Linked DNA regions of Macaca mulatta. The protein of the gene in region 1 interacts with the protein of each later gene in a biochemical or structural test. Links are inferred from orthologs where the notes say so. Each region holds a gene or a part of one and is shown in the gene's direction. Other genes may lie near its edges.

Region 1 (3,981 bases):
GGGTGGCTGGAGGGGTGCATGGGGCTCCTCTCAGACCCGCTCACCACTGTCCTTTCTCTCAGGCTCCCCAGGGAGTATGTGAATGCCAGACACTGTTTGCCGTGCCACCCTGAGTGTCAGCCCCAGAATGGCTCAGTGACATGTTTTGGACCGGTGAGCTGCTGGCGGGCTCAGAGCTGGGTGGAGGGGTGCAGCGAGGGGGATTGCCAGGGACTTGGCAGGATGGCGAGACACGGCAGGGTGTGCCGTCTGGTAAAATATCCCTGGAGAGGGCTCAGCACTCAGACCCGAACAGCAGCAGAGTGGCAGGAAAGGGGGCCCGGGGGACCCTGGGGCCCTTCAGACTATGAAAAGGTTCTAAGGAGGTCTGCGTTTGCGGCTGTGGCTGTGGCTGTGCTAGGGTGGTTAGCCCTGCGGGCTCAGGCGTCAGACTACCTGGATTCAGACCCAGGTCCTGCTTCCAACCTTGGTGTTTTATTCCTAAAATGGGTATTGTAATAGTACCTACCTTGCTGGGGTGTGGTGAGAATGAAATTAAACAGGGCTTGGCACAGTGAAGCCCGGGAAAGGCTTTCTATGCAGCAGTGACTGTTGTTACTCGCTGTTACACCTTAGGTAATGCGTTTTCTTCTCTGGGTGCCTCCCATTCTCTGGCTCAAGTCCCCGCCCAGGATCAAGCTTGGAGGAGGGCCCCGAGGGAGGGTCCACAGAGACTGGGTGAAGAGCAGAGGTGTTTGTCCCAGGAGCATGGTGAAAATTGCTGCTGGGTGGCCTTGGGAAGCACAAAGGGGACCCAACTAAGGGCCTGATCCTACTGCCCTGGGGGTGTCAGTGCTAGCCCCCTACAAACCTTTTCTGCCCCTCCCAGGAGGCTGACCAGTGTGTGGCCTGTGCCCACTATAAGGACCCTCCCTTCTGCGTGGCCCGCTGCCCCAGCGGTGTGAAACCTGACCTCTCCTACATGCCCATCTGGAAGTTTCCAGATGAGGAGGGCACGTGCCAGCCTTGCCCCATCAACTGCACCCACTCGTGAGTCTGAGGGTCTTTTCTGCAGAAAGGAGGACTTTCCTTTCAGGGGTCTCTCTGGGGCTCTTACTATAAAAGGGGACCAACTCTCCCTTTATCATATCTTATTTCTGATGGCAAAAATAACACATCGTTGGGGCCGGGCACGGTGGCTCACGCCCATAATCCCAGCACTGTGGGAGGCCGAGGCGGACAGATGACCTGAGGTCAGGAGTTTGAGACCAGCCTGGCTAACACGGTGAAACCCCGTCTCTACTAAATAATATAAAAAATTAGCCGGGTGTGGTGGTGGGCGCCTGTAATCCCAGCTACTCGGCAGGCTGAGGCAGGAGAATGGCATGAACTCAGGAAGCGGAGCTTGTAGGGAGCTGAGACTGCGCCACTGCACTCCAGCCTAGGCAACAGAACGAGACTCCATCTCAAAAAAAATAAAAATAAAAATAACACATTGTTAAAATGGTAAAATTAAAACATGAAATATAAATTAATGCCCTAGCAGTTCTATCCCCACTGTTAATAATTTGAAATATTTTTCCTCTAGTTATTTTTGTCTGTGCACATTCTAATATGTATATATAAGTTAACATACATTAATATTATTCTCCAGTTATTTTTATCTGTGCACGTTCTAACACACACACACACACACACACACATATATATATATATATTTAGATGGAGTCTCACTCTGTCACCCAGGCTGGAGTGCAGTGGTGCAATCTTGGCTCACTGCAGCCTCTACCTCCTGGGTTCAAGCAATTCTCCTGCCTTGGCCTCCTGAGTAGCTGGGATTACAGGAACATGCTACCTTGCCTAGTTAATTTTTGTATTTTCAGTAGATGGGGTTTCACCATGTTGGCCAGGCTGGTCTTGAACCGCTGACCTCAGGTGATCTGCCAGCCTCGGCCTCCCAAAGTGTTGGGATTACAGGGGTGAGCCACCATGCCCAGTCATATATTTCTTTTTACCAAATAGAATCATAGTTCATATTGTTTTTGCAAATTGCTTTTTCTCACTTTCCAGGACCTTGAAATGTTTTTCCATGTTCTAACATGGTGATCTACCTTATTCTTTTAATTTTTCTTATTTAGTTGTCTTTACACATGAAACACATGAATACATCCTTGTGATAAACATTTTCAGTAACATAAAAGTATAAATGTTACAAAACCACTCAACTCCCTGTCCACCCAGCCTCTCCTGTGGGCTGGGAGAACCACCGCATTGACTTGTGTGTTCATCCTTCTGGGCTCTTTTCTGCACACTTATATAGACACACTACATTTATATTAGGTTGAGTCAAATAAGATTGCTGTTTGTGTAAACCAAAAATGGGCACGCGGTGACTCACACCTGTAATTCCAGCACTTTGGGAGTCTGAGGCAGGCGGATCACTTGAGATCAGGAGTTCGAGATCAATCTGGCCAACGTAGCGACACCCTGTCTCTACTAAAAATACAAAAATTAGCCGGGTATGGTGATGCACACCTGAAATCCCAGCTACTCGGGAGGCTGAGGTAGGAGAAAACCCGTGAGGCGGAGGTTTCAATGAGCCTAGATTGTGCCACTGCACTCCAGCCTGGATGACAGAACAAGACTCTTGTCTCAAAAAAAAAAAAAAAAAAGGTCAAGAAACAGCAATTTCATATAGTTCCACTTGTCATCAGATTTGTGTGCGTGTACATTTTGTAATGTAAATGGGATCATTCTCTTCATACTATTCTGCAGTTTACTTTCCCTCCGACTTGAGGTATCCTTTCTTGTGAGTACAGACAGATCTACCATCTTTATTCTTTTTTAATTATTCAACCTATAACATGGATGTAATTTCACTTTGTTTTTGAGGGATATTGAGCTTGTTTCCCTGTTTTCGCAGTTTATTGCAATTGAGCTCCATACACAAGTGAGCATTCTTCTGTATGCCCCCTAGTGTCCACACATTGGCATTTTTAGGGTATATAGTGCTGGCAATGTTTATCACAAGGATGTATTCATGCGTTTCAATTTAAAGACAACTAAATGAGAAAAATTAAAAGAATATGGGTCCGGGCTGGGTGCAGTGGCTCACGCCTGTAATCCCAGCACTTTGGGAGGCCGAGGCAGGCAGATCACCAGAGGTCAGGAGTTCAAGACCAGCCTGGCCAACATGGCAAAACCCCGTCTCTACTAAAAATACAAAAATTAGCCGGGCGTGGTGGTGGGCACCTGTAATCCCAGCTATTTGAGAAGCTGAGACAGGAGAATTGCTTGAACCTGGGCGGCGGAGGTTGCGGTGAGCCGAGATTGCACCAGTGCACTCCAACCTGGGCAACAGAGCGAAACTCCATCTCGAGAAAAAAAAGAAAAGAAAAAAAAAAGAGAATATGGGTCCAGATCCATATGGATCCTAGATCCAGATCACGGTATTAGAACATGGAAAAACACTGCAAGATTCTGTTAAGTGACAAAAGCATTTGCAAGCAATATGTACGGTCTGTATTCAGAGGAGAATTTGCTGCATCATAGATAATATTTCGTAGGTGTTGCCAAACCGTTCTCTGGAGAAGTCGTATCAGTTTACCCTGAGATTCTTCTATGGAGGGAATAGTTGAGCTCCCTTACTTGCCTTTCTGGGTGCCCTCCCTGCTTCCTACCCACCACAAGGGGCTGCAGGGGAGAGGGGCATGCGGGTTCCTTGGCTGGAGAAGGAGTCTCCTTGTGGGTTGGTAGAAGGAGCACTGATGGCCTTGAGCCCAGTTTCTACCTTTGTCAAATGGGGATAATGACCCAGCCACACCCCTCCCGGGTTTGTTGTGAGACTGGAACGGTGGTTCCCAAGAGGGTGGTTCCCAGAATTGTTGATGAGACTCTTTCTCCTGCAGCTGTGTGGACCTGGATGACAAGGGCTGCCCCGCCGAGCAGAGAGCCAGGTTGGCTTGGACCCCAGGATGTACCCCTCGTTGCCCTTCACTCCCC
Region 2 (3,981 bases), on another chromosome or scaffold:
AATTTTGTCACTAGCTGTCTAACTGATCTTACATATAACAATTCTGAGACTTCATTTTTCCATATGAACATGGCAGTGTTAATCCCTTCTCCTGTTTATGATCTAATGAGGTAATACATATGAAAGTCTTACAGAGTTAAGTCTGTAGAAGTATAGGATGTCACTGTAATTAGTACTTCAATGCTGCATGCAAAAAGTACGTTTAAGTGGTTATTCCTTTTGAGGTAAAATGAATTCACTTAACTTCCAATTTGGTCACATTAGGTCAGTCCTTTACAAATAATCTTCTAATGTAAATATTTGTGTAGATGAAGCCACTACCCTATTTCGAGCCACAACACTTGCAAGCACCTTGATGGAGCAGTATATGAAAGCCACTGCTACACAGTTTGTTCATCATGCTTTGAAAGACTCTATTTTAAAGATAATGGAAAGCAAGCAGTCTTGTGAGGTAAGAATTTAATGTTTTAGTAGGTAATAATTTGTAGCCAATTACATTTTAAGGAAAATATTAAATTTCTAAAATTATTCCTCATAGCAGTTATACCTGTCTCTAATACATTTATAAAAATGTTCTGCAAAATGGACTTTTTTAAAAAGATGTACTTTATTTTGGGATTAAAAACCATCAAGTTGCACCAGAAATTCATGAAAATACTTTTATCATTTCCTCTACTGCACTAGTAATCTATATACTACTTATAGAAAGCATGCATAACATACATTGAAGGTTTTGTTAGTGACTTATCATATGACCTGTGTAGCACTTCATTACATCTAGGTTTGTCCTTGAAGGTTTTTTTGCAAGAGGAGAATTATGAGATAACCTTGACTAAAACAAAAACATCTTTTTAGGATTATTGAACCTTCAGTATAAATTCATAATAAACTATTAAGACAGTAAGTGGAATCTCACACATATATTCTCTCATTTTAATGGTAAAGCAGCTACAAAGAAATACATATTTTAGATCTGATACAAAAATCAGTTTAAGGAATTGTTTTCGACAGTGGACACTGGGACCTAGCAAATGTTAATCCTGCACGAAGGTGTCAATTCGTACTAATAACCTGAAGGGAAGAAATTAGTGATTTAATTTTGGAAATCTGGAGTAATGCCATAGTTGGCCCAGCATAAGGATGACACAGAAGTGCAGCAGGTAGGTAGGGAGTCTCTGGACTTTAGATATAGGCTGTGGAATTCGGACTTCCATAGATAAATGTACTCTGCTGACACTAGATCAGAAGGGTTACAGGAGAAGTTCTGAGAAAGGTTTGTGATTCTGCCTAAGACATTTGATATTTTTATTAGCCATTAAATAAGCCTCATTCAGAAAGGGCTTTTAATCAGCTTTTTTTACCCTCAAATAGAATTGACTAACCACTGTTTGCTTTTCAGTTGGGTAATTGGGAATAAATGGTAACAAACCTACCAGGAGTTCCATAGAGCAAACTACTTAAAAACTCCCATTTATACAAAGAAAAAAGATCAGTACACACAGCGATACTGAAAGATAGAGAACCTTGAAAACTACAACTACTTGTTTTCCTCAATTCATTTGCATTTGTCATTGCCAACAATGCATTTCTATTGATTTATTCCTTCTTTTAGTTAAGTCCATCAAAGTTAGAAAAAAATGAAGATGTGAACACTAATTTAGCACACCTATTGAACATACTTTCAGAGCTTGTGGAGAAAATATTCATGGCTTCAGAAATACTTCCACCGTAAGTGGTGAAATTTTCATTTGACAAGAAATTGTGTATCTATGTCTTGAGAAGTTTCTATTTCTAAAACATGTGAAAGCTTTTCTGTTGTCCTAATATTATTATACTCTGAAAAAGTCATGGTTAATCTTTATAAGATGAATTATATTTAAAGAAAATAACTGTCTTAATAAAACCACCCATTGTTTTTGTACAAGCCAATATGTCTGGTTTGTATAGCTTGGGGAGTGAATAGAGGTTTATAGTTTCAGATTTGAGATTGTAAAAGATATCTTGTCTATCCATTTAGTCTATACTTGATAGATTAATCACTCTGTTAATATGCTTTTAGGCCTCCAGTATTAGTGAACTCACTTGTTTAGGTAGAAGTTAACCTAAGTCTAAATCTTTCTCCCCAGAGTTTGCAGCTGGTTAGTTCTCTGTATCTGAAAGTAAATGTCAGGAAGTTGACTGAATAAATTGATGATGATAAACTTAGTCGATAAAATTTTCCTTACCCCTTCTAAATGTCTCATTACCTGTGGCAAAATACTTTTTTTGGGGAAAAGGCCAGTTTTATTAAACTGTGGTATATTTGGGTAAATTAAGCTTTCGGCTGCTAGGAGATCAGTAGTTTCACTTGCTTTCTGTGTTGAGATGATTGTGTTATTTTGGCAGGACACTGAGATATATTTATGGGTGTTTACAGAAATCTGTTCAGCATAAGTGGCCTACAAATACCACCATGAGAACAAGAGTTGTTAGGTAAGGCTCATCAATTCATTTGTTAAATCACAAACTGATAGATGGATAATTGTGAAAGATTGAAGAATAACAATATACAATTCAACGTTTTTCTTTGACTTTTATGTCAAAGCCCTATTGCATATTTTCTAAGTCCAAATGGCTCCTAAACTTAAAGTTACTATGAGATTTAGCTACCGTTTGCATTTTCTAAAAACATGAACATTCATTTATAGTCAAGTATTGGGGATTTTTAAACCCTTACAGGATGAGGTTAAAAGTTATACAAACAAAATCTGTAGCTAACTTCATATAATATTCTTCATACATACACACACACATTGATTGGCACTAAAAGAGAAGAGCAGTAATTGACTGATTTAGATATTAATTGGTTTATTACAATCTGTGACTCTGAGCTAATCTGGAACCAGAACATGTGGTGCTGAAGCTGTGTTTCAGTCTGCTCATTGTACCATAATTAGGAAGAACTGTTTTGGCAAACCATGGAATTTGGGAGCTTATATAAAGGGACTTCATTATCATTATTCTATAGGAAGAACTGCTTTGGCAAATCATGGAATTTGGGAGCTTATATAAGGTTACTTAATTATCATTATTCTAACTTACTTTCCAATGAAGAAGCAGATCTGTCTGGAGAGGTTAAGTTGTTGAACTAAGGTTATATAGAAAGCTGGTGGCTAAGGCACAACTAAAGGTAACTTTCTAAGACCCAATCTGATATCCTTAAGTCTTATTTGTAGGCTTTTGCTTTTGTTAAGCATACTCCAACCAATACCCCAACTAATTCCAGGCAAATGGAAATTTAATGCAAAAGCATCATGGAATACAGCAGTTTTCTAATAATATAATTTGTTATTTAGAATATACATAGTCATGTCATGCTATATTTAAAATAATCAGACAACCATTAACACCATTATTACAGTTTGTTTTGAAAATGTGTGTTAATCCTGCCTCCAACCTAAATTTTGTCAAGGGTCTTCTATTTCTTTTTTTGGGGGGCAGATAAAATTTCTCTTGGTTATGATATGACATAATATTTAAGAACTACAGATTCAGTTTTTGTTGGCATTAATGGTGATTGGGAGGAATAGAAAAGAATTATATGCTAGCACAGTTATGTGTGAGATGTAAATTAAAACTGTTCTATAAATTCAAACAAGTATAATTGTTAAGCAAACACAGCAGGAAATTGTAAACTGATGCAAGAGGGTGTTTTAGGGCATTTTTGCCAAGGTTATGTTTCAGGCTCATAGACCTACTGTGTATAATTATGACAATATTTTCAAGTAAAGTTTACACAATATTCTTTAAATTTGAGAAGTCCAAAATTAAAGACTTAATTGTTATTTTTTTGAGACAGGGTATCGCTCTGTTGCCCAGGCTGGAGTGCAGTGGTGTGATTTCAGCTTACTGCGACCCCCGCCTCCCAGGTTCAAGTGATTTTCATGCTTCACCCACCCAAGTAGCTAGGATTACAGGCATGCAGCACCACACCTGGCTATT
Region 3 (3,981 bases), on another chromosome or scaffold:
AGGGTCTCGGGCCCGAGGGCGTGGTAAGCTGGGCACAGGTGGGAGGGTCTGGGGGCATCCAGGGGCTTAGCTGGGCCCAGGTGGGAGGGTCTGGAGGCATCCAGGGGCTTAGCTGGGCCCAGGTGGGAGGGTCTGGAGGCATCCAGGGGCTTAGCTGGGCCCAGGTGGGAGGGTCTGGGGGCCGAGGGTGTGGTAAGCTGGGCCCAGGTGGGAGGGTCTCGGGGCATCCGGGGGCTTAGCTGGGCCCAGGTGGGAGGGTCTCGGGCCCGAGGGCGTGGTAAGCTGGGCCCAGGTGGGAGGGTCTGGGGGCATCCGGGGGCTTAGCTGGGCCCAGGTGGGAGGGTCTCGGGCCTGAGGGTGTGGTAAGCTGGGCACAGGTGGGAGGGTCTGGGGGCCGAGGGGGTGGCAAGCTGGGCACAGGTGGGAGGGTCTGGGGGCATCCGGGGGCTTAGCTGGGCCCAGGTGGGAGGGTCTCGGGCCTGAGGGTGTGGTAAGCTGGGCACAGGTGGGAGGGTCTTGGGGCCGAGGGGGTGGCAAGCTGGGCACAGGTGGGAGGGTCTGGGGGCATCCAGGGGCTTAGCTGGGCCCAGGTGGGAGGGTCTGAGGGCATCCAGGGGCTTAGCTGGGCCCAGGTGGGAGGGTCTGGGGGCATCCAGGGGCTTAGCTGGGCCCAGGTGGGAGGGTCTCGGGCCCGGGGGCATCCAGGGGCCATCCGTGTTTATGAAGCTTTTCCAGATTGTTGCAGATGTTGTGTTTGACCAGCTACCATAGAATTGCAAAGTATCTTCCAGTGTATTTTTGAGACAGAGTCTGGCTCTGTCACCCAGGCTTGTGTGTAGTGGCAGGATCATGGCTCTCTGCAGCCTCGAACTCCTGGGCTCAGGCGGTCCCCCTGGCTCAGCCTCCTGAGTAGCCGGGACTACAGGTGGGAGCCACCGTCCCCAGCTAAGTCTGTGTAGAGATGGGGCCTTGCTGTGTTGCCCAGGCTGGTCCCGAGCTACTGGCCTCACGTGATCCTCCTGACTTGTTTTCCCAATCGTAATCCCAATCGTACGATTTCATCCATCATAAGATGCCCCCCCCATATATCATGACGTACGCACCTTACAAATGGTGATGTATTTGAGGGATAAATATGGTATTTTCAGGTTCTAATTTATTTGAGGGTGTACAAAGCACTTCTCAATTTACAAGGAATTTTGGGATCAAGTTACTGAATTACTTCAATTCTTCCCTCCCTTTCTTTCTCTCTCTTTTTTTTTTTTTGATGGAGTCTCACACTGTTGCCCTGGCTGGAGTGTAGTGGCACAATCTCAGCTCATTGCAACCTCCGCCTCCAGGGTTCAAGCGATTCTCCCGCCTCAGCCTCCTGAGTAGCCGGGATTAAAGGCTCCCACCACCACACCTGGCTAATTTTTCGTATTTTTTTAGTAGAGACGGGGTTTCACGACGTTGGCCAGGCTGGTCTCGAACTCCTGACCTCGTGATCCGCCCGCCTCGGCCTCCCAAAGTGCTGGGATTACAGGCATGAGCCACCGCGCCTGGCCTAATTGCTTCAATGCTGAGAGACACTCTCCCCGCCCCAGTTTTGACGTCTCTGGAGTCTGGATTTTGTTTTTTTTTTTTTTTTTTTTTTTTGAGACGGAGTCTCGCTCTGTTGCCCAGGCTGGAGTGCAGTGGCGCGATCTCAGCTCACTGCAAGCTCTGCCTCCTGGGTTCACGCCATTCTCCTGCCTCAGCCTCCTGAGTAGCTGGGACTACAGGCGCCCGCCACCGCGCCCGGCTAATTTTTTGTATTTTTAGTAGAGACGGGGTTTCACCGTGGTCTCGATCTCCTGACCTTGTGATCCACCCGCCTCGGCCTCCCAAAGTGCTGGGATTACAGGCGTGAGCCACCGCGCCCGGCTGGATTTTGTTTTAAAACCATCGATTGCATACTTGAACTGCATCATTATTTAACAGCGAGGTTTTTCTCCTCTGTCTGCTCCTGGTACCTGAAATCGTGGTGCATCTTACAGTTGCTCTGGGCCAGTGGGATTTAGTAATCTCCAGCTTCTAAAGCGTTTTAGGGTTTACAAAGCATTTTCCGATTTACAAGGAGTTCTAGGGTTTATGAAGCATTTTGAGCGTCTGAGGGCTACACAGGTTATTTCTTAGGTGAGGAGGTGCTGGAGGGTTCGGAGGCCTCTCAGACTGCAGGAGGCATTTTCAGCCGTCCGGCCGAACCCTCAGAGTGGCTCTTGGGCTGGTGCGAGCCTGGTCTCCGCGTGAAGCACACTGTGGGGGGCAGGGGTGGCACTTGTGCACCCCAGCCTGGGACAAAGCTGGAGAGGGGCAGAGCTTGGGCGAGAGGCGCCTATTCTCCCAGTTCCCGAGCCCCCTCAGACTGTTTCCGGTCCCCCCGCCGCCGCCTAGCCTCTAGCCTGGTGGGTGATGCCTCTGCTCTTTCCCAGGCCAGATTCCCTCTGTTAAATGGATCCCTGGGGTCAGACTGGCAGCCCCTAGACCTGGGGAAGCTTCAGAACGTCTACCAGTACCTTGTCGAAAGGCAGATTCCCAGCTCCTATTCCCAGTGCCATGGAAGGAGATAATTTTGCCGCAGGCCTAGGAATGTGCATTTGCCCCTGTTCCCCACGTGAAATGTGCACAGGGCCCCCAGCCTCACCCACGAACTCAGAGCAGCCGGGGACACGTCACCCATGATCTCAGAGCAGCCGGGGACACGTCACCTCCTGGGTGCTGCTCGGTCCCAGGCCCCTCCCGGCGCCCGCTGGTGGCCGCCTCCCGGGTGCTGCCGGGTTTGCGGACACACGGCTCCAATCTCTCATGGGGTCACCCTTCAGCCCCCAACAGGACGCGTGGCCCCAGAACCCGGCGGTTTCAGAGCCCGTGCCCACGTGTGGTTCTGGGATTCTGAGGCCGATCCTGTGGCTGGCGTCCCAGAATTCCCTGGTCCGGACACTCATCCACGCAGGCACCCTAGGGGCTCCCCGACAGGACCCCAGATCGCCGATCTCTGACTCCACGGGTCCAGGCCGGCTCCCGGGAGCTGATACCGAGGTCTGTCCTGCAGGTGCGGACGAAGGACGTGCTGTTTGAGAGCATCAGCCACCTGATCGACCACCACCTGCAGAACGGGCAGCCCATCGTGGCCGCCGAGAGCGAGCTGCACCTGCGCGGCGTCGTCTCCCGGGAGCCCTGAGCCAGGTGTGTGGCTGCCGCCGTGGGCCGCCGGCCTCGTCCCCTTTACCCGATTCTTTTCTAATTTGAAATTTGAGACCCGGTTCACATGCCGTGCCTTTCCCTCTAGAGGGCACGACTCAGGGGTGTTCAGCATCCAAGCTGTGCAACCATCTCTGTCGAGTTCCAGAACATTCTATCAGCCCCGAAAGGTGCCCTGTCCCCACCAGCCATCGCTCCCTGTCCCCTCCCCAGCCCCAACCCCCATACATCCGCCTCCTGTCTCCGTGGATGGGCCTGTCCCGGACATTTTCTAGAAATGGGATCACACGGTGTGGCCTTCTGGGTCTGGCGTCTCTCACGGAGCGTGACGTCCTCAAGGTGCCTGGTGCTGTGGCCTGGGTCAGAGCTTGGCTCCTGTTCACGGCTGGGTAATGTCCCACTGTGTGACGGGGCCACATTGTGTTTGTTCATCCGCTGATGGACGTTTTGGCCACCGTGAGCCTTTGTGTACAGGTTGTATGTGGACACGCGTCACTGGCCGTGGTGGGCACGTGCCCCAGAGTGGCCCTGTGCAGCCATGATGGTAACTGTGCAGCTGTGATTGGCTGGGATGGATGTCACCTGGTCTTTATGGACCCCTGCTGCGTGCTGGGTGTCCAGGCCTCCTTCCCGGAGAGGACGGTGGGCTGGGACAGGCAGGGGCTGGTGTGTGAACCCAGGCAGTGAGAAGCCCACACCTCAGGCCGGGCCGCAGAGCCCTGGGCCTCTACTTTTGGTGCGGGGCTGGGGGGAACCCGT
Region 4 (4,454 bases), on another chromosome or scaffold:
GGTTTCCACCTCTGCCATTGCCACTCTTCCTTCTCCTCCTCCTCCTCTGTCTCCTCTTCCTCTGCTTCTTCCTCCTCCTCCTCCTCCTCTTCCTCCACCTCCTTTCCCTTTTCTGTCTTCTCCTCTTTCCCCACTGTCTTCAGTCAGATCTTGGGTCTACAACAGGAGAGGTAACTGAGAGCCCTTTACTTTGTCGTGCTGTGTATTCTTCTGACCCAGGAGAAGACTGGTTCCCTTGATAAATGTTGGAAATGTGTACTTTATTCCACAAGAGTGAGCAGGGCATTCTCGATGGCTGCAAAAAAGTATGTCCAGGAACAAAAAGTTCCTCCCATTTTCTTCCTCCCTGACCCTAGACTGCAGGCTGCTCTTTAAACAACAGATAAATCAGCATGTTTCAGATTAGGCAGAAGGAAATGTCAAGTCTTCCAGGAGGGAAGTAGAGTTCTCTGAATACGTTCAGCCCCTACAGGTATGGTTCCCTCCTCCCAACCTCACCCCACCTGTCTGAGCTTGAGATGGCCTCGTGTCTGGCGTGTCACTGGCTGTGATGAGCAAGCGGTGGACAGGACAGGAAGAGGCAAATGCAAGGAGGGGAGTGGCATTCTGCTTTTAGGACTTCAGAATGGCCTGATGTAGGAATTGCACTCTTGTGAAACTGTTAGATTTGTTCTCATCTGACTTTTGGGTACATCCTGGTTTGTTTGAAAGCATCTGGCTATCGGCAAGGTAACTCCTGACTCTACCAGGCAATAAGGAGGCTGCACATCTTACGACAGAGTTCATCTCCCCTTTCCTGGGTCACCCATCCCTACCCGCAGATGAACAGAGAATTGCCCATCCCATTTTAAATAGAGCTCCAGAAAAAGAGAGACTCTAATTCTCCGAGTAAACTGTTACCACCATGTCACTGCCACCCTGATATTTATTTTTAAACATATTGCTCGCATCAGGGGCGGGGAGGGAAAAGCACAAAAATGCCATTTTTATATAATGGTTCTATAAGTAGAAAAAGCTTATCCATGACTTTATGCAAATAAGCAGAAAGTCTCCAAGAGAGGTTCAGATGGACTTGATTACTCTGCTTTTCCTTGAGCCCAGGAAGTTCCCAGTTATAGCATGCACCTGCTGGAAACAGACTAGATGTGTTTGGGACAAACAGGAAGTAGTGACCAGCCAGAAACTTGTCCCAACCTTGTTACAAATCTGATTGTAAAAGAAAGCAGCTGGAAAGAAATTTGCATGCCCAGTAGGTTTCACTATTAAAGTTTACAGAACGTGGAGTAATCATCAAGCTGGCTGGCTATCCAGATCACATGATTATGTAGAAACATGAAACTTGACTATGTGCTCGGGCAAGTTTTACTTCTCCCTAGAGCAGGGGTGTTTGCCAGCAGCCTGCACTCTCAGAAGTCAGACTTGAGTGGCCGGAACCCTTGAGACCAGAGGCTTACCATGCTGCTCCTTAGGAGGGCCAGGAACTGCTGACGTGACCACTGGACACTTATTCGTGTCTCTTACAATTACCAAACAGAATGGACAAGCTTAATAAAATAACCGTCCCCGCCAGTCAGAAGTTGAGGTAAGATTTTCCCCACCCAATACTTACCCTTCTTCATCTCCTTTTTTTTCCCCCAATGCTCTTATGGCATCTCAGAAATACTGAAATCCTGGAATGCTTTGCTAGTTTCCAGTGGGTGGCACTTACTATAGGGAAGTGGACTGAGCTTTTAGGGAAAGCATTGGGTGGCACTTGCTATAGGGAAGTGGACTGAGTTCTTAAAGAAATGTGTAGGAACAAGAGAGACTTGCTTTAGCTACCTCTTACAATAAAGTATGAAGCTCTGGAAAGATAATAAAACAGAAATACCAAGGGCTTAGATTCTACTGAAGGTCAACGTTCAGAGTCTGAGTGCAACCAACTTTTCTAAGGAAGGGTTTCTCTAAACTGAGTCCTCACCCATTTTATTGCAGGTTACTATTTAATTTTAAGGATAGCTGTAATCATTTGTTATTCATTGTTTTATTGTCTCATTTATTTTGTGGGTGTATATTACAAGTGTGTTTGGGGGGATTAGATCTGTCATTCCAATACCCTCATGTCAACGTAACAATGATCTATAACAAGCCTCTTAAAAAGGAATAAACCAGAAGCGGCCCCACGGGCATGAGTCAAGGAGCTATGGAAAAGACAACTTCCCCAAATTTTGCTTTTGAAGGTCGTCTTTTTGTCTCATTGTAATGGCATCATGGCTTTCAGAGACTGGAACTTTTAAAGTTCAGGGAGTGGGTTTTTTTCCCACATTTTTTAACAGTTTTTAAAAAATTATTATTATACTTTTAAGTTCTGGGGTACATGTGCAGAAGGTGCAGGTTTATTACATAGGTATACATGTCCCATGGTGGTTTGCTGCACCCATCAACCCGTCATCTACATTCAGTATTTCTCCTAATGCTCTCCCTCCCCTGGCCCCCAACTCCCTGACAGGCCCCGGTGTGTGATGTTCCCCTCCATTCAGGGAGTGTTTTCTATTCTGACTACATATCGGAACTGAGCCAAATGTTCAGGGGGTGATGTGACACGTGTAGCAGACAAGTAATCCCAGATAACAAGGAGCCAGAGAATTGAAGCTTTTGAGACAATATTTAAGAGAAAGTCTGGAATTGGCAGAGGGACAGCCCTTCACACTAGAATACAGGTCTTATGCCTAGGAGGTGCTTGGTAAAAGGTAATGTGATATGCACCAATGATCTGGGATCAGTAGGCAGTATCAACTGCATTCAACCATTTCAAGAACATGCTGTTGAGTTCTGCTGTGTGATCAGCACTGACGGGACAGGAAGGCACCTCATTCTTGCCCTTGGTCTCAAATAGCTACACCCTCATAAGGGGCAGGGATGATACAATAGAAGCTGTAAGTGACTGAAGGAATGTAAGAAGAGAATTAGAGTAGCAGGAGGAGGTTTCATAGAGAAGATAATTTAAGAGGTAGGCTTTGAGAGGTGGGTAAAATTATAAAATACTGGAGAATTGGAGGAAACATGTATGTGCTGGGAGGGAGGAAATACAGAGGCTGTCACTCAAAGCTTAACACACATACGGTCCATTTGTGGGATGGTGAGGAAAGTTTTCTGTCTAGCGGAAACTATAGAGTAGGGCATGTAGGACCTGAAGGTCCTGGTATAATTGGACACATAGGGCGGGTCCAGGTTGCAAAGGGTGGTGAGGGCCCTAACCATAGGGAGTGTTGGAGAACAGGTTATGCTGTTAGTGATGTCATGACAGCAGGCTTAAAGGAGTCTGGTAGGATGTGTTGGAGTGAGAGGGACACTGGAGGCAGGGATCTGTTGGGAGGGAGGAGCGCTTAAGTAACCCAAGCATCCAGGGCTGTAGGCCTGGACTTGGGGCACAGCAGTGAGAAGGAAGAGGGAAAGAGAGGGAAGAAAGACGTGGCAAAGAAACTAATGAATGAACAGGAGGATTCCAAATGTTTTTTTCAGACATATATCATAATGTAGAACTATACAGAGACGTATTCTCTTTCAGGGAATCCAGATGGGAATTTAAGTAAAGGTGCTAGAACTTAAATCATTTTATGATTCCTCCCTTTGGGACAAAGTCCAGCTTGATCACAGAGCAGCTGATGGGCAATATACAACCATAGATTATGGAATAGAAAACCAAAATTATACCACGGATAATCATATACTACACTCATCTGCTTACATAAAAGTAACTTTTTTCCCACTTGATCACTCAGTTGTCTTTATAGAATCATCACGTTGTGATAAAATGTACCCTGCTGACGTGGAACTTTTCAAAGAAATGAAATTGTAAATTAAATGGGCTCGAAGCACCATCTTAACTCTTTTCCATAATTAGATAGCTGGGATGCTGAGCAGTTAATAGATGAAATACTTGCCTCCTGTGATTTGTGTCCTCTATCCTGACTGGTTGACATCAATTCTGGAGGTTGATTAACAACATAATTATTTGGCACCAGACGACAGCAAAAGTGGACAGTTATGTTTATACTCTTAGGCTTAGGTGAGAATTTGCTCAAATTCTTAGCCACAAAAATAGAAAGACAGTGAGTGTTCATCCAGGGAACTGAAAGGAATGACCTTGATCCAGGGAGTATATTCCCAGGACTGAAAAGAAAGTAGAGAAGAAGGAATTACTAGAAGGTGAGGGGAAGCAGAGTCATCCAAGGAAAGGAGGTCATGCAGGATTGGAAGGAGACAAGGAATTCTCAAAATGAAGGAGAAAGGGAATGTTCTAGATGAACCCATTTGGGGATGGGTCATCACCTTGAGAGTTTCTGCTGTATCAGAATAGAGATAGGCGAGATGGCTAAGTTGCTTGTGACCACAGAGAGGTGTGAGCACAGATTCTCATGTTTTTGCTCCCACCGAGGCACTGCTACAGTAGGCTTCTCTGTTAGTTGGAGTCC
Region 5 (4,696 bases), on another chromosome or scaffold:
TTGACTTGGGAGCTATCGAAGACTAAGGACTGTAGCCAGAGGATTTCAGCATTTAAAAACTTGGCAATAGAGCTGTTCAATGTAATGATCCAAGAAGGTCCTTAGGAGGCTGAAGAATTCTGAGGCCAAGGTTGAGATGTTATTATTTTTAAAGTAGCAAGATGTTGTTATTTTTTATATTTTATCTTTATAATGTGGAAATAGCAGAAATCCTTTTCAGATGTAACCAGGATTTAAGAAAATTTGACAAACTTGCATCAATAAGAAGAAAGCCTGTTATTAAAGAGTTACACGGCCGGGTGCGGTGGCTCACGCCTGTAATCCCAGCACTTTGGGAGGTCGAGGCAGGCGGATCATCTGAAGTCACGAGTTCAAGACCAGCCTGGCTGACATGGTGAAACCCTGTCTCTACTAAAAATAATTAGCCAGGCATGGTGGCAGGTACCTGTAATCCCAGCTACTCGGGTGGCTGAGGCAGGAGAATCACTTGTACCCGGGAGGCAGAGGTTGCAGTGAGCCAAGATCGTGCCATTGCATTCCAGCCTGGGCACGAAGAGTGAAACTCCATCTCAAAAGAAAAAAAAAAAAGGAGTTATGGGCAGAAAATTACCTCCTTTAACTCATTCGACAAATGTTTACTGAGCATTTTCTATCACCATGACACTCTGCTGATTCTTTTCTATTTCAATAAAAATATTGAGCAATTATAACCAAGGAAAAGGTTTTAAGAAAGTAAATTTTAAGCAAGGTTTAGATATAAAGAAGTCAAGAGATGGAAAAGGATGCCATTTCACATTGCAGAAAAAGTTTAAATTTTAGAACCCAAACTGAGTCTCTCCTTGACACTGCCCTCTTGGTATTCCAGGGATTAATGCTAGGAACATTCTGGTGAGCCAACATTTCCCTCCTCATCTTGGATCCAGTTCCCAAACTCTGAATGGCACCACTTAGCAAGTAGCAATGTCTCTAATTTTCTGTAAAAGATGCAACGTTGGCAATCCATTTTCTAGCAAGAGCAAAGAGAAAGGAAGAGGCCTTCACAAGTTGCATTTGATATAGGGGGAAGGGTGAGTGGTACATTTAAAGGTAAGAACTAAGGAAGTTGAAGGTAACAAAATATAAGGTCAATGGAAAGTCTTAAATCCCGAAAAGCCTTCAGTCCAAGACTCAACACAAATTGAAGTCCCAGAAATCGAAGGAACTGGTTCCAACTCATGCTGAACTGTGGCAAACCTGGGGTGAGAAGTCATCCCAGCTCAGAATGTTTCTTCTTTTTTTGTCAAGAGTAATATTACAGACTGAGCGCATGAACAAAGCATCTTCCCTGGGATTTTAACATTGTGAGTGATCAAGGGTGCTCTTAAATAAGTTCCCCCAAGAAGCCCTAATGTTCCTTGGGCTGCATGACTGTACTAAGAGAATAAGAGTTTTCCTTAAGATCGACTTGCTGATGGACCATATCTAGGACTAGAAATTTTCTTATGTGAACATAAGTGTTCAGGAGGGATATTGTTAAAACTGAAACCTAGCATAAAGAAGCAAAAGTATTTCAGTGAACCTCCTGCATTTTAGTTCAACACTGGCAGCAAGAAAACAAAACCACATAATCTAAGGCTCACGCCCAACTCTCTGAAGCCCCGTATGTGCTAGTTCCTGTGTGGTTTGCCTGCAGGCTGCAGGGCTGACTAGGGTTAGTTTGGAGGAGGGAGTAAGAGGTGGGGAGGAGGAGGCACAGTTAATGGATCTGTAAACTTGCACCCTCTTTCAGAGTGGTACATGGAAGACAGCACAAAGTGGATCCGTACTCTGAAATGCAGTAATTCTGATGCTTGAATTTGTCTTCCTTCTTGCCAGAAAGGATTCTAATAACTCGGCATCAAAGCCAAGACATAAATTCAACAAACCACTTCTCTTCCAAAAGGTATGTCATTATACAATATCTGTACATATATTTTGTATGAGTTAATTAAAATGAATCTCATTAGTTCTCTGAATACTGCTTTTAAGTCCCATCAGCTAATGTCTCTAAACCTTTTGCCGTGACAATGTTTGTGGTGATGGGATTTGACTTCTATCAAGTGAACTGGGAGAACGCTTGTTCCTTACCCAGTCCATAACACAAAAATCTCCACAAACTGGCTTCAGAAGCATCTCGGGGAAAGATTTTCGACCTTGGGATCACAGAGGTAAAAATTCTACTTCACCATGGTCAGGATTTAATCCAAATTGGAAGGGGTTGGAGGGGGTGGTAGAGGGCTGAGCAGTGATGAATGAACACCAGCACTCTGAGATCAGGATTTCTCCCTTTGCTTGAATTTCTAGTTCTGTTTGCATTTTTCTTACCTATACAAAGAACACCAGTTTTCATTCCTTTACAAAAAAGAAGACTTTGTGTTGAAGTGTATTTTGGAAGGGTATTGTCTCTCTTTGTACTAGCCGTTAGGCTCCATCCCTGTGACTGTCTCTGGTTTAGGCATCCAGTCTGAAGTTAGCTGCTTTGTGTTCTTTGTCCTAACTCTTCCTGAACATGAGGATTGAACATACCAACCAACGGTTTCACTAATTTAAAATGTATCGTATTGCGCTGACAGGTATACTGTCAAAAAAAATTACCGTATTTACCTACCTGGAATTAGGCCTTCTTAATAAGGTATATGCAACATAATTTGCACACTATTGAACATATACATCCCTAGATAAACTAGGAGAGGGAAATGTTTTAGATCTAAACATCCAATAGGAAAAATTTCGTGTGCTCTCGTTACGTTATCCGAGGATGGGAAACTTCAGGTCGAAGAATCTTTTGTTCTGTGCAGCAACGTTTGTCATTAACGGTTTAGTTCTTTAGTGGGTCCTTTTTGTTTCTTATTTTTGGTTTCAGAAAGAGCATTTAGCAGAAGTTACTCTCCTTTAACAATCCAGTATTGTATATAAAACTTTATAAAATAATTTTATAGTGACCCTCTTTACAAAACCATCTGCTATTAAATAAGGAACACTGTGTAAATAGAGGACCACCTAAGTATATTTACTTTTCAAATTTGAAAAATATCTGACTCATACCCTTTTTTGTTTTTTTGTAAAAGAGAGGTGGCCCTATATTATTGAATAAAACTGCTTTTTTAGATTAAACTTGGAGTGTCTCCCATGTGGTAAACTGAAATCTTATTCTCCCCAAATTGTAATAGATTTTATCTTTTTAAAAAATGACTTTACTGAAGCAGAGGAGAAAGAGATGATCAATCTATTCAATATGAAGAAATATTTCTGTTGCTAATACAATATCCTTTTGAATATCTCCGACGTCTTAGGCCTGGTGAAAATCCCTTTCAATTGTTCTGTCTACCTCGTAGGGATATTGTAAGAATAAATGAGTTAACATAGATATGAAATACCTTAGGAAAAATGCACTATAAAAATGCAAGACAATGTCATCATTAGTTATTTCTTTGACTCTTGATCATTTTCTTCCAACTTCTTATACAAAATGTCTCTTACTTATTTCCTGAAGCCATCTCTTTTAGAACTATTGCTTTCTAGAAGAGCTGAAAATGATCCTAGTTCCAACATATTTATTGATTCCCAGATAATAACACCCACTGGTGTTGATGACTGACAGGGTTCATGCCTAAACTTGAGTAGAACTTGCCCTTTTTTCCTGGATCAAGAAAAGTCTGCAGTCGTTCGAAAAATGTGTCAGTAAGTGTGATTCCATCAGGATTTCTTAAATAAGTAACAGTTGCTGCTGGATAATCCTGGGGGCAGATTATTCATTTTTGTGCCCCTATAAAACAAACTCAAAACTTGTTCAAGAATCTTTATAAGTTGTTTGAATCAAACAATAGGGTCGATAGGTCCCCATTTTGTCCTTTTGAGGTATTTGCCCAGCGTACCTTGGTCTGTAAAGAAATAGCACAGCCTTGGCTGGGTGCGGTGGCTCATGCTTATAATCCTAGCACTTTGGGAGGCCGAGGTGGGCGGATCTCCAAAAATAAATAATAATAATGATGATAACACAGTCTCATGAGTCTTTTTTTTTTTTTTTTTTTTTTTTGAGACAGGGTCTCACTCTGTCACTCAGGCTAGAGTGCAGTGGTGCAATCATAGCTCACTGCAGACTCAACTACCTTGGGCTTAGTGATCCTCCCACCTCAGCCTCTCAAGTAGCTGGGACTACAGGTGCACACCACCACACCTGGCTAATATTGTATTTTTAGTAGAGACAGAGTTTTGCCATGTTGCGCCGGCTGGTCTTGAACTCCTGAACTCAAGCAATTTGCCTGCCTCAGCCTCCCAAAGTGTTGGGATTACAGGTGTGAACCACCGCACCTGGCCTGCCCTTTCTTTTCCACTTAAAAATTCTTAAGAAAGCATGGCCCTGTTTAACAGATAAGCATTTTACAAACATTTATCGATCAATTACTATATGCCAGGCCTGGCGCTAGGCACCAAGTCCTCTTCAACAGTGTTAACGTTAAGTTTCAATAAACTTGAGTCAGTAGGAATTCAGTAAATAATTTTTAAAGATTTTCTTTTTAAATATGCATTTATAAACAACACTTTTAGAGAATTAAACTATCACAAAGTACATGATGATAAAAGTCTTACATGCTCTCCAAAGAAAATGTTAAGACGTTCCTTAAGAAGACAGTGAAGAACGGCTGGGCACAGTGGCTCACACCTGTAATCCCAGCCC
Region 6 (4,589 bases), on another chromosome or scaffold:
GGGGCAGGGAGAGGGGCTGGAGAGGTGGCCTGCTGGAGAATTTGGATTGGCCTTAGGATTGAGCAGTTTCTTGCCAGTGAAAAATCAGTTTGTTGTCCTCACTCGGGAGGTTTATCACATGCATGTTATTTGTTACTAGTAATGAAGTATGGGAGTTTTCTGAATGGCTACCCTTTTAAATAAGAGCAGATTCAGGGTATCCCTGTAATAAAAAGCCACCTTCAACTATTTGCCTTCCACTCTGGCTTGCATGGGCAGTGGGCTGGCCTGTGCTCCTGACCATTGTTCCTGGGTGGACCCCAGAGAGTGTGAATCCTGGTACTCAGGTTGGAGGAGTTTTATCCTGCTGGGAGCTATCTGTTCATTGCTGAATTCAGATTTCTTCGGCCGGTTCCCGTGGGCACCGTGGTAAGGGCGGTGGTAGATCCAGCTGACCTCTGGGCGTGTTTGTCTTGGGTAAACCACGACAGCAGCATGTCCTGTTCTTAGCTGTTTGTAGACACTTCTATGTACCTGGTATTGTGTCAGATGTGAAGGAATCTGGAATGAATATGATACAGATGTGTTCTCAGGGAAAGACATTTGAAAAAACTAAAGTTTGGATACGCTATAGGAAAAAAATGATGAATGAATACAGGAAAATGAAGGAAGGAATGAATATAGAAAAAGGTGAGTAATGATGTCATTTGAAGGACAGGGGGAAATGAGAATGCCTGCTTGTCTGCCAGGTGATGATTTAGTGAGGAATTGGAACCCAGAATGGTGTGTTCTAGGAGGAGGTTTTTTCCTTTGTAGTTGAAAGTTGAAGAGCAGCTTTGCTCTTCTACTGCAGAAACGGAAAGATGGATATTTAGTGCCAGAACTTGAGAGGTTAACGTCGGCCAGTTGAATTGATGGCTGGAATTTGCACATATGTCAGCCATAAAGGCCACGACTAAGCCCACCCATACTGCTCCCCACATCCAAGGCATGTGGAGTTGCACGTGGAGTTGTAGATCCGAAGTTGGAGTGTTGGAGGCACAAAGGCTGAGCTCTGGGACACTACCCCTAGGCTGGGCCTGGAGTGAAGGCCGGTAGTAGGAGTACAGGGTTAGCCGGCCTGAGGCTAGAAGGCCCCCTATCCTACTCTGAGGCAGGGATCTCTTCCCCTGCCCCCCACAGACCACAGGCAGTGGCTTCATCTTGAACATGATCTTTTATTTTCAGTCTTGCCACAAAGCTTCTTGTAGACAGCCAAGATCCACTGCCCCGGGAAGGCTGGTGAAGTCCGACAGGCGTTGAAAGGAGGGATCTGCCTGTGGATCTTGCCCACCTCTCCTCCTGCGTTTCTAAGTGACCCTTCCTTCAGGATCCTGGCTTGTCCATCTTCTTCCATCACCCTGTCATCTTCACCTCCTGAACCTCGGGTTTCTAATTTCCTTCTAAAATCGCAGACCCATAAAGGAAGACGGGACTCGAGATCTGCTGTGAATTTTCCTGATTTGCCAGGAGCAGGACGGCGGGGGGGTTGGGGAGGGCGGTGCGGGGGAGGGATGGGCTGGGAGATAGGGAGGGGGCAGGGAGGTGCAGCCCAGCCCCCAGGTGTGCAAGGCCCCGGGCGGTCCTGTGCTTTGAGCTTTGCTTGAAATCCTCACCTGGTTAGGCGTGTCCTTTGCAAGGCCAGGCTCCTAGTTTTTCCTAGTTGAAAAGGCAAATTAGAAAAAAAGCCTTTCTGCCTCGGTGTTTCCCTGTTTTCCACTCCAAATGCCCTGTTTGCCAGTGTAGATTACCAGGGTAGTGCAGATTACTGCTCATTACAGATGCAGAGTTGACTGGATAATAGTTAAGATTTAGAAATTCCGAAAGTCGAAGAGCGTGCCCGGTTTTGATTCTTTTAAGCCCCTCGCCAGCGTTCTCGGAGAGGTTTGAAATCCTAGTAAAGCTGAACCCTGCACCAAGCTCCGCGCGTCCGTAATTCCAGTCAGATGGCGGCTGCAATACCCTGCTCCCTCCGCCTGGAAGGCGTTTCTTCACCCACTTTTCAGTGTTTGGCGGCTCAGCCTGTGCCTCCGCGCTCGCTCGGAGTTGCGGTTGGGGCGGGCGGGGGAGGGAGGGCTAATTCGTGTCAGATGGAGGGACGCCGTGCGGGACCGTGCTCTCGCGCCTGCCTTTTGTTCCCGGCGTCTGACTTCTGACGGACAGAAGTGGCCGTAGAGGCGGCGGCGCGCGGCTGGGACCTGGGCCGGCGGCCACGGAGAGCCCTTCGCTCCTCCCGTGTTGGCCATTTGCTGGGACTTGTGTCCGCAGGGAACTCGGGAGGCATCCTCTGCCCCGACCGCCACTGGGGAGGGGTCCTCGCCTGGCCGGGTCGGGCTCCCAGCGGGCGGCAGGGGCGGCCATGCGGCTGCGCGCCCTGACCCCCGGGCCACCGGGAGGGTTAGCGCGCGGAACCCGGGCGCGCCGGCGCCGGCGCCAGGTGAGTGCGGCCCGGAGCTGGGGTGCGGGGCCGGGGGCGCGAGGCACGGGCGCCTTCAGGGCTGCACGCACGTGGGCTGCGCCGGGTGTGCGCTGGTGCCCGTGGACGCTGTGCCGGTGTGTACCCCCCTGTGCTCATGTATATGCGTGTGCCCTTGTCAGTGCGCGTATGTCGGTGTGTGTTTGTGCACCCCCGTCTGCACGTCCACGCGTGCGTGCTTGTGAGCGCGCGTCTGTGTGTACAGGCATGTGTACGCTGGTCCGTGCCAGAATCCTGGTGGGTGCGTGTGTACCCTTGTGGGTACGTGTGTACCCTTGTGTGTGTGCGCGCAGGACAAGGAGCGAGAGGGCCAGTGGAGCTTTGCCTAGTGGGAGCGGCTTCTGGTAAGCGTGGAAGAGGGTCCAGGCTTAGCTCTTTCCAACCCAACAGCCTCTTGAAAAGGCTTCTTGGTTTCCTTTCCCTGCAATGGAATTGGGATTCTGGCCATTACGCAGACCTGCTGTCTCTCGCGTGTTTCTTGCAAAGGTAAAGGACATTTTAGCTCTTCAATAATGTGGGGGATGCGCTGGGATGTAGGAATCCTTACAGGTTCCCTGGGGACCGCATGGTTCCAGCGGCGCTCTGCGGTCCACAGGACGGCCCTTCACGGTGTTTGAATTAAACAGACCCGTCCTGGTTGGCTCCCGCTAGGTTCAGCGCCCTTTCCCTAAGTCTAACAATCAGGAATTTATTGCATTTGTTTTTCTGAAACTTTTGTAAGGCTCTGTGGAGTGAAAAACTGTTAAAATTTCAGCTAGTTACTTGAGGTGTACTGCGTTCCCTCTTAAAGTTTAGTGGTCAAACGCTGCTGCCTGGAAGTGTGGGAACAATATGTGCTGGATCTGGAGGGTGTCCCTCTTGCCCCAGATACTGGCTCCCTGTGGGCTGGGAAATATCCCCGAGGCCCGGAAGTGTTCCTGGCTGTTTAATATCAGAGTAAAGTTGGGCTGGGAATGTGTTTTTCATCAGTGCCTGCCTCTCTAGAATGCCTCTGAAGGTTTCCCAGGTGCCTGAATGCCCACCTAAATCCTTTTACTACGGTGGAGCTGAATATTTCCTGAAAGGAAAACATAGCAGGGATTGTGCTGATGCAGCTTTGCACTTTTGCGTGTGTAACCATTTTGCCAGGCGACCTTTAGCCGGGAGAACCTAGCCGAGAGGTCCCTGCGGTTTTGCATTTCGGCAGAGTGGAGCATTCATGTGGAGCACCTCCCTGTTCAATTTTGCAGAGATTTTTCTTTCTGAAAAGAGACCTCACAATCAAGACCAGCACTAATTACTGTGTCCCCCTCAGGGAGTCCTTGTGGAACCAGCAGCCTGCTTTCTACCCTTCCAACATTTTGTTCCTAACAATTAAGTGCAATTTAGATTCCTGAACTGAGCCTGCTAAATACTTCAGCATTGCTGCCTCCTCTCCCCCTTTGGGAGAAATGAAGCACAGTATCAGGTGAAAACAAGGGCAGTCTAATCCCGTCTGGTCTCATTTCACAATAGAGATGTTATGTACAGATGAAGCGTGAGCAGATGTTATTACACTATCTTAAATGAACTCCTCAGGGATCCAGCAATTCAAATGGCTGAGCCCTCGCAGCAGCGCTTCTGCTGTTTCCCTCTTTAAGTTTTCTAGCTGTGGACCAGTGGGCAAGAAAGCTGCAGAAAACAGTGCCTCTTTCTCCCTGGTTGGAATAAAGGTGTTTGTAAGGAATAAAAGGTCACAGTATCTTTCCTTGGCCCACAGACTGTGGCTAATTCATTTGGTCAACAAATATTAATTGAGGGTCCATGGTCCACTGTCTGCCAGGCGCTGGGCAGGGCCCTAAGAGGACAAAGGGGAAAGAGCCTGGTGTCCTGCATCTAGGAAATTGCAATCTAGCACAGGAGAGAAGGCGTATACACAAATAACTGCAGTATGAGTGAAAAGTATGTACCAGCTGCTGCATTGCAATAGAGAGATGTGTTTGTTAAGTGTTTGAATGCTACTCTTGTCTGAGCGTGAGACTGGGGCTTGAGGCATATGGGGCCTGAGTCCCATATGCCACATCCATTGCCTGTGTGGTGCTGCATCTTGGTTTTGCATCTCACCATCGCGGTTTGT
Region 7 (3,981 bases), on another chromosome or scaffold:
GGTAATCAGGAAAAAAGTCAGATGAAAAAGAACATCCACAAACATAATTTTTGCCAATGATTCTAACTTATTTTTATCTCCAAATCTGTCAAAGATTAATAAGCGTCAAAAAGAGCTAATTTTAGTTTCATTTATTCACCTCACTTCTGCCCACCCTGTACTAACAATGAGCAAGTTTGGCTTATTTTACAGCATTTGTTGACGATAGTGAATGAACTGTGTCCCAGGAGCAATGCTGGGCTCTGAGGGTGTAGTTATGCTCAGGAAAGAACTACTCCTGTTCTTGTGCTGCTTATGTTGTGCTGGGTAGACAGCGTAGGCTGAAATAATCATCGCACTACCTTCCACTTGCATAGCACTGTGTGCAGTTTTCAGAGTTCTTTCATACACACTACCTTATGTGAAAATCGAACATAGGAATTTAGTTAGACATGCCTGGCTACTTCTTTTGCTGCTGGTATTTATTGTTAGAGCAGCCATCTCACCATTCACACATGCCTTGCACTGAGAAGTGTGCTCTGAAGGGGATGAAACCAAGTGTGGTCTCAAGCACTCATTCGAGAGCCTCGTTCCACAGGGAAACAAGTGAAGGTTAAGGGGAGGTGGAGCTCCTAGCCTGGGGCAAGTCACACAAGAGGCACCCAATACCCATAAGCTTTCTCTTTTAAAAATTTGCCTGATGCAAAGATTTTGAAATAAATCTTTGGTGGATCGGGCTCCTGTTTTGCATAAAATCAAAGCTTTGTAGCTTATCTTTCCCTTTGGTATTGGCAGATTTTTATTCCGAATTTGTTAAAGAGGCTGGCTGAAGTTCCAGAGAAAGTACATGGCATGTGATATTCATGGCCTCCTGCAGCATGCAAAAATGAAGTCATTCCAACTAGCTAGACAAAGGGTGTGCTTGACTCCTTGGCACATAGCACAACTCCCAGCTGTCTTGGGAAAGCAGACTCATCAGAAAGGCATGCCAAAATTTGGGCTGTGCTTTTCAATGCTTGTTATGATGGCTCTTGTTATATTACCAGCCAGCTAGTTTTTTCCAGTGGTTTTTGTTTTCCCCTTCTGGAGGAGTTGCCTTTGCATTTCCATCTCTCTCACTGTATTTTTTTTTTTAATCATTTGCTCTTCTTGAGATTGACTTGTTGCTGGTCAATGTTGTTGATGACAGAACCTTTTGAAGATGCTCTCAAGAACCAGCCCTTGGGGCCCGTGTTAAGCAAGGCAGCCTCCGTGGAGTGCATCAGCCCTGTGTCACCCAGAGCCCCGGATGCCAAGATGCTGGAGGACCTGCAAGCTGAGACTTGGTACCAAGGAGAGATGAGCAGGAAGGAGGCAGAGGGGCTGCTGGAGAAAGACGGAGACTTCCTGGTCAGGAAGAGCACCACCAACCCGGGCTCCTTTGTCCTCACGGGCATGCACAATGGCCAGGCCAAGCACCTGCTGCTCGTGGACCCGGAAGGCACGGTGAGCACCCAGTGGGGATGGGGTCGGACCTGCTGATGGGCGCAGACCTGCCTTAAACAGTCTCCACTTTGTCAAATGACCTCCACGTTCCCACCTCTATCCACAAGTGCCTACCGAGTCCTTCAGGGGAACCCAGGGACAGACAACTCCTGTCATCAGGCCAGAGCCAGGAGCCAGGAGCCAGTGGTCAGGGTCCCACACAAGTTTTAAAACTTTTAGAATTATGGCCTAGGCTGAAAGCCTTGACTTTTATGTCCTTTAAAGTAAATAAATACAGAAACTGAGAGCATTTTCCTTACAAACATGTTTCTAGTGGACAAGGAAGTACAGGCGTCTAGGCTTTTAATATTTACCTTGAATGCTTCTGTCAAAAAGTTGAATCACTGAGGATTTTGTTCTAAGGCTGTAAAATGTGATGATCAGTAAATGAAACCCCCTTTGCTAAGTCTCTAGTTTTCCCGTTTAGAGAAGTAACTCCTAGTGATGTTGGCCATCCCTGGCACTATAGCTGTATCTGAATAATCCTGTAGGTTTCCCTGAATTTTTCATCTTCCTGTCAAGAAACACATTCGACTTTACCTGGGGCATAGTCCAAGAATTGCTAAGCTTCATAAATGTAGTTAAATCAACCTAACTGTTGAGTGAAATTCCAGGATTGTTTAAAACCTTTTATCCAGTGAAAACAACGAAGCAGGGTAGAGTTATTTAATAGGAGTTAAAAACATTGCATTTTCTGATTGACAGGGAGGGATGAAGCTTTTGTCTTCAGCTGGACTGGAACACAATTAAACTGCATGAGTCGGGGGTGGGGGTGTTATCCAAAATGGTTTATTACCTCAGGTGCCAAGACTCAGTTGCCTGAACACCCCAGCTCCTGGCACTCTGAACAGTTCCTCTTTCTGTTTCTTTGGAAGCAGCCACTTCCCACTTCCAGCCAGTAGCTACTTCCTCTTTCCCTTCCACGGAGACAGCCCCTTCCTCATGAATGTAACGTATATATGTATATCCTTCCAGTCCATCTTCTTTTTTAACATACACATACTTCTGAGAAAACATTTTGTGTTTGTGCCTTTTAGAAATTTGCAAATTAGCCAGGCGTGGTGGCGACTGCCTGTAGTCCACTCAGGAGACAGAGGTGGGAGGATTGCTTGAGCCCAGTAGGTCAAGGCTGCCCTGAATTGTGATCGCAACACTGCACTCCAGCCTGGGTGATGGAGCAAGACCCTGTTTCAAAAAAAAAAGAAAAAAGAAAAAAGTTTGCAAACATGATATTGTTCCACAAATCCCATTTTGTTTCTTCCTTTTCCACCACCGTACATGTTGTTGAGATGTGCCCATGGTGGTTTCTGTTTATCAGATCATTACTGTGGTGGGCTGCCTGGGGCCGGTCACATGTGCAGTCCACACGTCACTTACTGAGCTCTCTTGAGAAGGTTGACTAAGCTGCTACAAACTCTCATGCATGTTTTTCTCTGTACCTGGGCACGGTATCTCTGGGACAGGAGCCAAGAGTGGCGTTTTGGTCACAGGGTACACATACATTGAATTTCACTGGGGCTTGGATTTGCTTTCAGAATGGCTGAGCTACGGAGGCGCACACCAGCAACATCCTTGCTCTTCCTTGAGAGAGTCTCTAGGTTTGCTAGTTTGTGGGAGTAAGGAGAAAGGGAATATCTCATTGTTTGATTTGTAATTCTTTGGTTGCACTTCATTAGTAAATTAGCAGATTCTTCCTGTAAAGTTAATGTTCTTATCTTTTCTCCATGTTTTTCTTTTGACTTTCTGATTGGGCTTTCTTGTTGAAGTTTTCGGCAACAGAATTTTCATATGTATTCTCTTGCTTTTGTCATCCATCTGATAATTTTGTCTGTGATAGTCTTCATCAAATAGAAGTCTTTCATGGGATGCATCTGAATCTGTCAGTTTTCCCATTTGTGCTTGATGGTTTTGACTTTTAAAGTTTTTCTCCCCCACAAATCACAAATATACTGGATTTGAATATATATTTTCTTTCATTAGCTTTATAGTTTCATCTTTCACATGTGGGCTTTAATTCCAACTGAAGGTACTTTTGAATTTGAAATGAGATAGAGACACCATATATACACATATATACATACATTTTTTGTTTGTTTGTTTACTTGTTTGTTTGTTTTTGTATTTTTAGTAGAGACAGGTTTTTCCATGTTGGCCAGTCTGGTCTTGAACGCCTGACCTCAGGTGATCAACCTGCCTTAGCCTCTCAAAGTGCTGGGAGGTGTGAGCCACCACGCCTGGCCGAGGTTCAACATGTTTTTAAATCTCCAGAGGGTAAGCCAGTTTTTCTGTCACCATTTGCTAAATCATTCATCTCTTCTCTGCTGTCCTGATGTTCCTTTGAAAACATACTAAGTTCTTTGCACCATGGTCTGTTTCTGGATGCTGGATTCTATTCTACTGATCTGTTTAGTCCTTGTATAAGTACCATGCTGTTTCCATCCTTATGGCTTTGGAACTCTCTTAGCATCTGGTGGTGTG

The links.
Region 2: the proteins of ERBB2 (region 1) and RASA1 form a complex in vitro, tested with the Homo sapiens proteins (2 studies listed by BioGRID and IntAct, with this or other methods). The link is inferred for Macaca mulatta from reciprocal best matches to the Homo sapiens genes ERBB2 and RASA1.
Region 3: the proteins of ERBB2 (region 1) and SHC2 form a complex in vitro, tested with the Homo sapiens proteins (2 studies listed by BioGRID and IntAct, with this or other methods). The link is inferred for Macaca mulatta from reciprocal best matches to the Homo sapiens genes ERBB2 and SHC2.
Region 4: the proteins of ERBB2 (region 1) and BLNK form a complex in vitro, tested with the Homo sapiens proteins (2 studies listed by BioGRID and IntAct, with this or other methods). The link is inferred for Macaca mulatta from reciprocal best matches to the Homo sapiens genes ERBB2 and BLNK.
Region 5: the proteins of ERBB2 (region 1) and GRAP2 form a complex in vitro, tested with the Homo sapiens proteins (2 studies listed by BioGRID and IntAct, with this or other methods). The link is inferred for Macaca mulatta from reciprocal best matches to the Homo sapiens genes ERBB2 and GRAP2.
Region 6: the proteins of ERBB2 (region 1) and TNS3 form a complex in vitro, tested with the Homo sapiens proteins (2 studies listed by BioGRID and IntAct, with this or other methods). The link is inferred for Macaca mulatta from reciprocal best matches to the Homo sapiens genes ERBB2 and TNS3.
Region 7: the proteins of ERBB2 (region 1) and SHC3 form a complex in vitro, tested with the Homo sapiens proteins (2 studies listed by BioGRID and IntAct, with this or other methods). The link is inferred for Macaca mulatta from reciprocal best matches to the Homo sapiens genes ERBB2 and SHC3.

The regions. Positions count from the first base shown.
Region 1 is NC_133421.1:64,070,411-64,074,391, forward strand, and holds part of ERBB2 (receptor tyrosine-protein kinase erbB-2), read left to right. Parts: intron 1-62; coding exon 63-153; intron 154-615; coding exon of another isoform or gene 616-717; intron 718-868; coding exon 869-1,029; intron 1,030-3,887; coding exon 3,888-3,935; intron 3,936-3,981. UniProt on the Homo sapiens protein: Protein tyrosine kinase that is part of several cell surface receptor complexes, but that apparently needs a coreceptor for ligand binding. Essential component of a neuregulin-receptor complex, although neuregulins do not interact with it alone.
Region 2 is NC_133411.1:93,755,030-93,759,010, forward strand, and holds part of RASA1 (ras GTPase-activating protein 1), read left to right. Parts: intron 1-308; coding exon 309-451; intron 452-1,612; coding exon 1,613-1,728; intron 1,729-2,385; coding exon 2,386-2,472; intron 2,473-3,981. UniProt on the Homo sapiens protein: Inhibitory regulator of the Ras-cyclic AMP pathway. Stimulates the GTPase of normal but not oncogenic Ras p21; this stimulation may be further increased in the presence of NCK1.
Region 3 is NC_133424.1:1,068,251-1,072,231, reverse strand, and holds part of SHC2 (SHC-transforming protein 2), read left to right. Parts: intron 1-3,073; coding exon 3,074-3,202; 3' UTR 3,203-3,207; intron 3,208-3,981. UniProt on the Homo sapiens protein: Signaling adapter that couples activated growth factor receptors to signaling pathway in neurons. Involved in the signal transduction pathways of neurotrophin-activated Trk receptors in cortical neurons.
Region 4 is NC_133414.1:108,279,685-108,284,138, reverse strand, and holds the start of BLNK (B-cell linker protein), read left to right. Parts: upstream 1-1,364; 5' UTR 1,365-1,535; coding exon 1,536-1,582; intron 1,583-4,454. UniProt on the Homo sapiens protein: Functions as a central linker protein, downstream of the B-cell receptor (BCR), bridging the SYK kinase to a multitude of signaling pathways and regulating biological outcomes of B-cell function and development.
Region 5 is NC_133415.1:11,633,652-11,638,347, reverse strand, and holds the start of GRAP2 (GRB2-related adapter protein 2), read left to right. Parts: upstream 1-1,674; 5' UTR 1,675-1,921; intron 1,922-4,696. UniProt on the Homo sapiens protein: Interacts with SLP-76 to regulate NF-AT activation. Binds to tyrosine-phosphorylated shc.
Region 6 is NC_133408.1:81,066,057-81,070,645, forward strand, and holds the start of TNS3 (tensin-3), read left to right. Parts: upstream 1-1,472; 5' UTR 1,473-2,377; coding exon 2,378-2,455; intron 2,456-2,722; exon of another isoform or gene 2,723-2,920; coding exon of another isoform or gene 2,921-2,980; intron 2,981-4,589. UniProt on the Homo sapiens protein: May act as a protein phosphatase and/or a lipid phosphatase. Involved in the dissociation of the integrin-tensin-actin complex. EGF activates TNS4 and down-regulates TNS3 which results in capping the tail of ITGB1.
Region 7 is NC_133420.1:119,710,426-119,714,406, reverse strand, and holds part of SHC3 (SHC-transforming protein 3), read left to right. Parts: intron 1-1,168; coding exon 1,169-1,464; intron 1,465-3,981. UniProt on the Homo sapiens protein: Signaling adapter that couples activated growth factor receptors to signaling pathway in neurons. Involved in the signal transduction pathways of neurotrophin-activated Trk receptors in cortical neurons.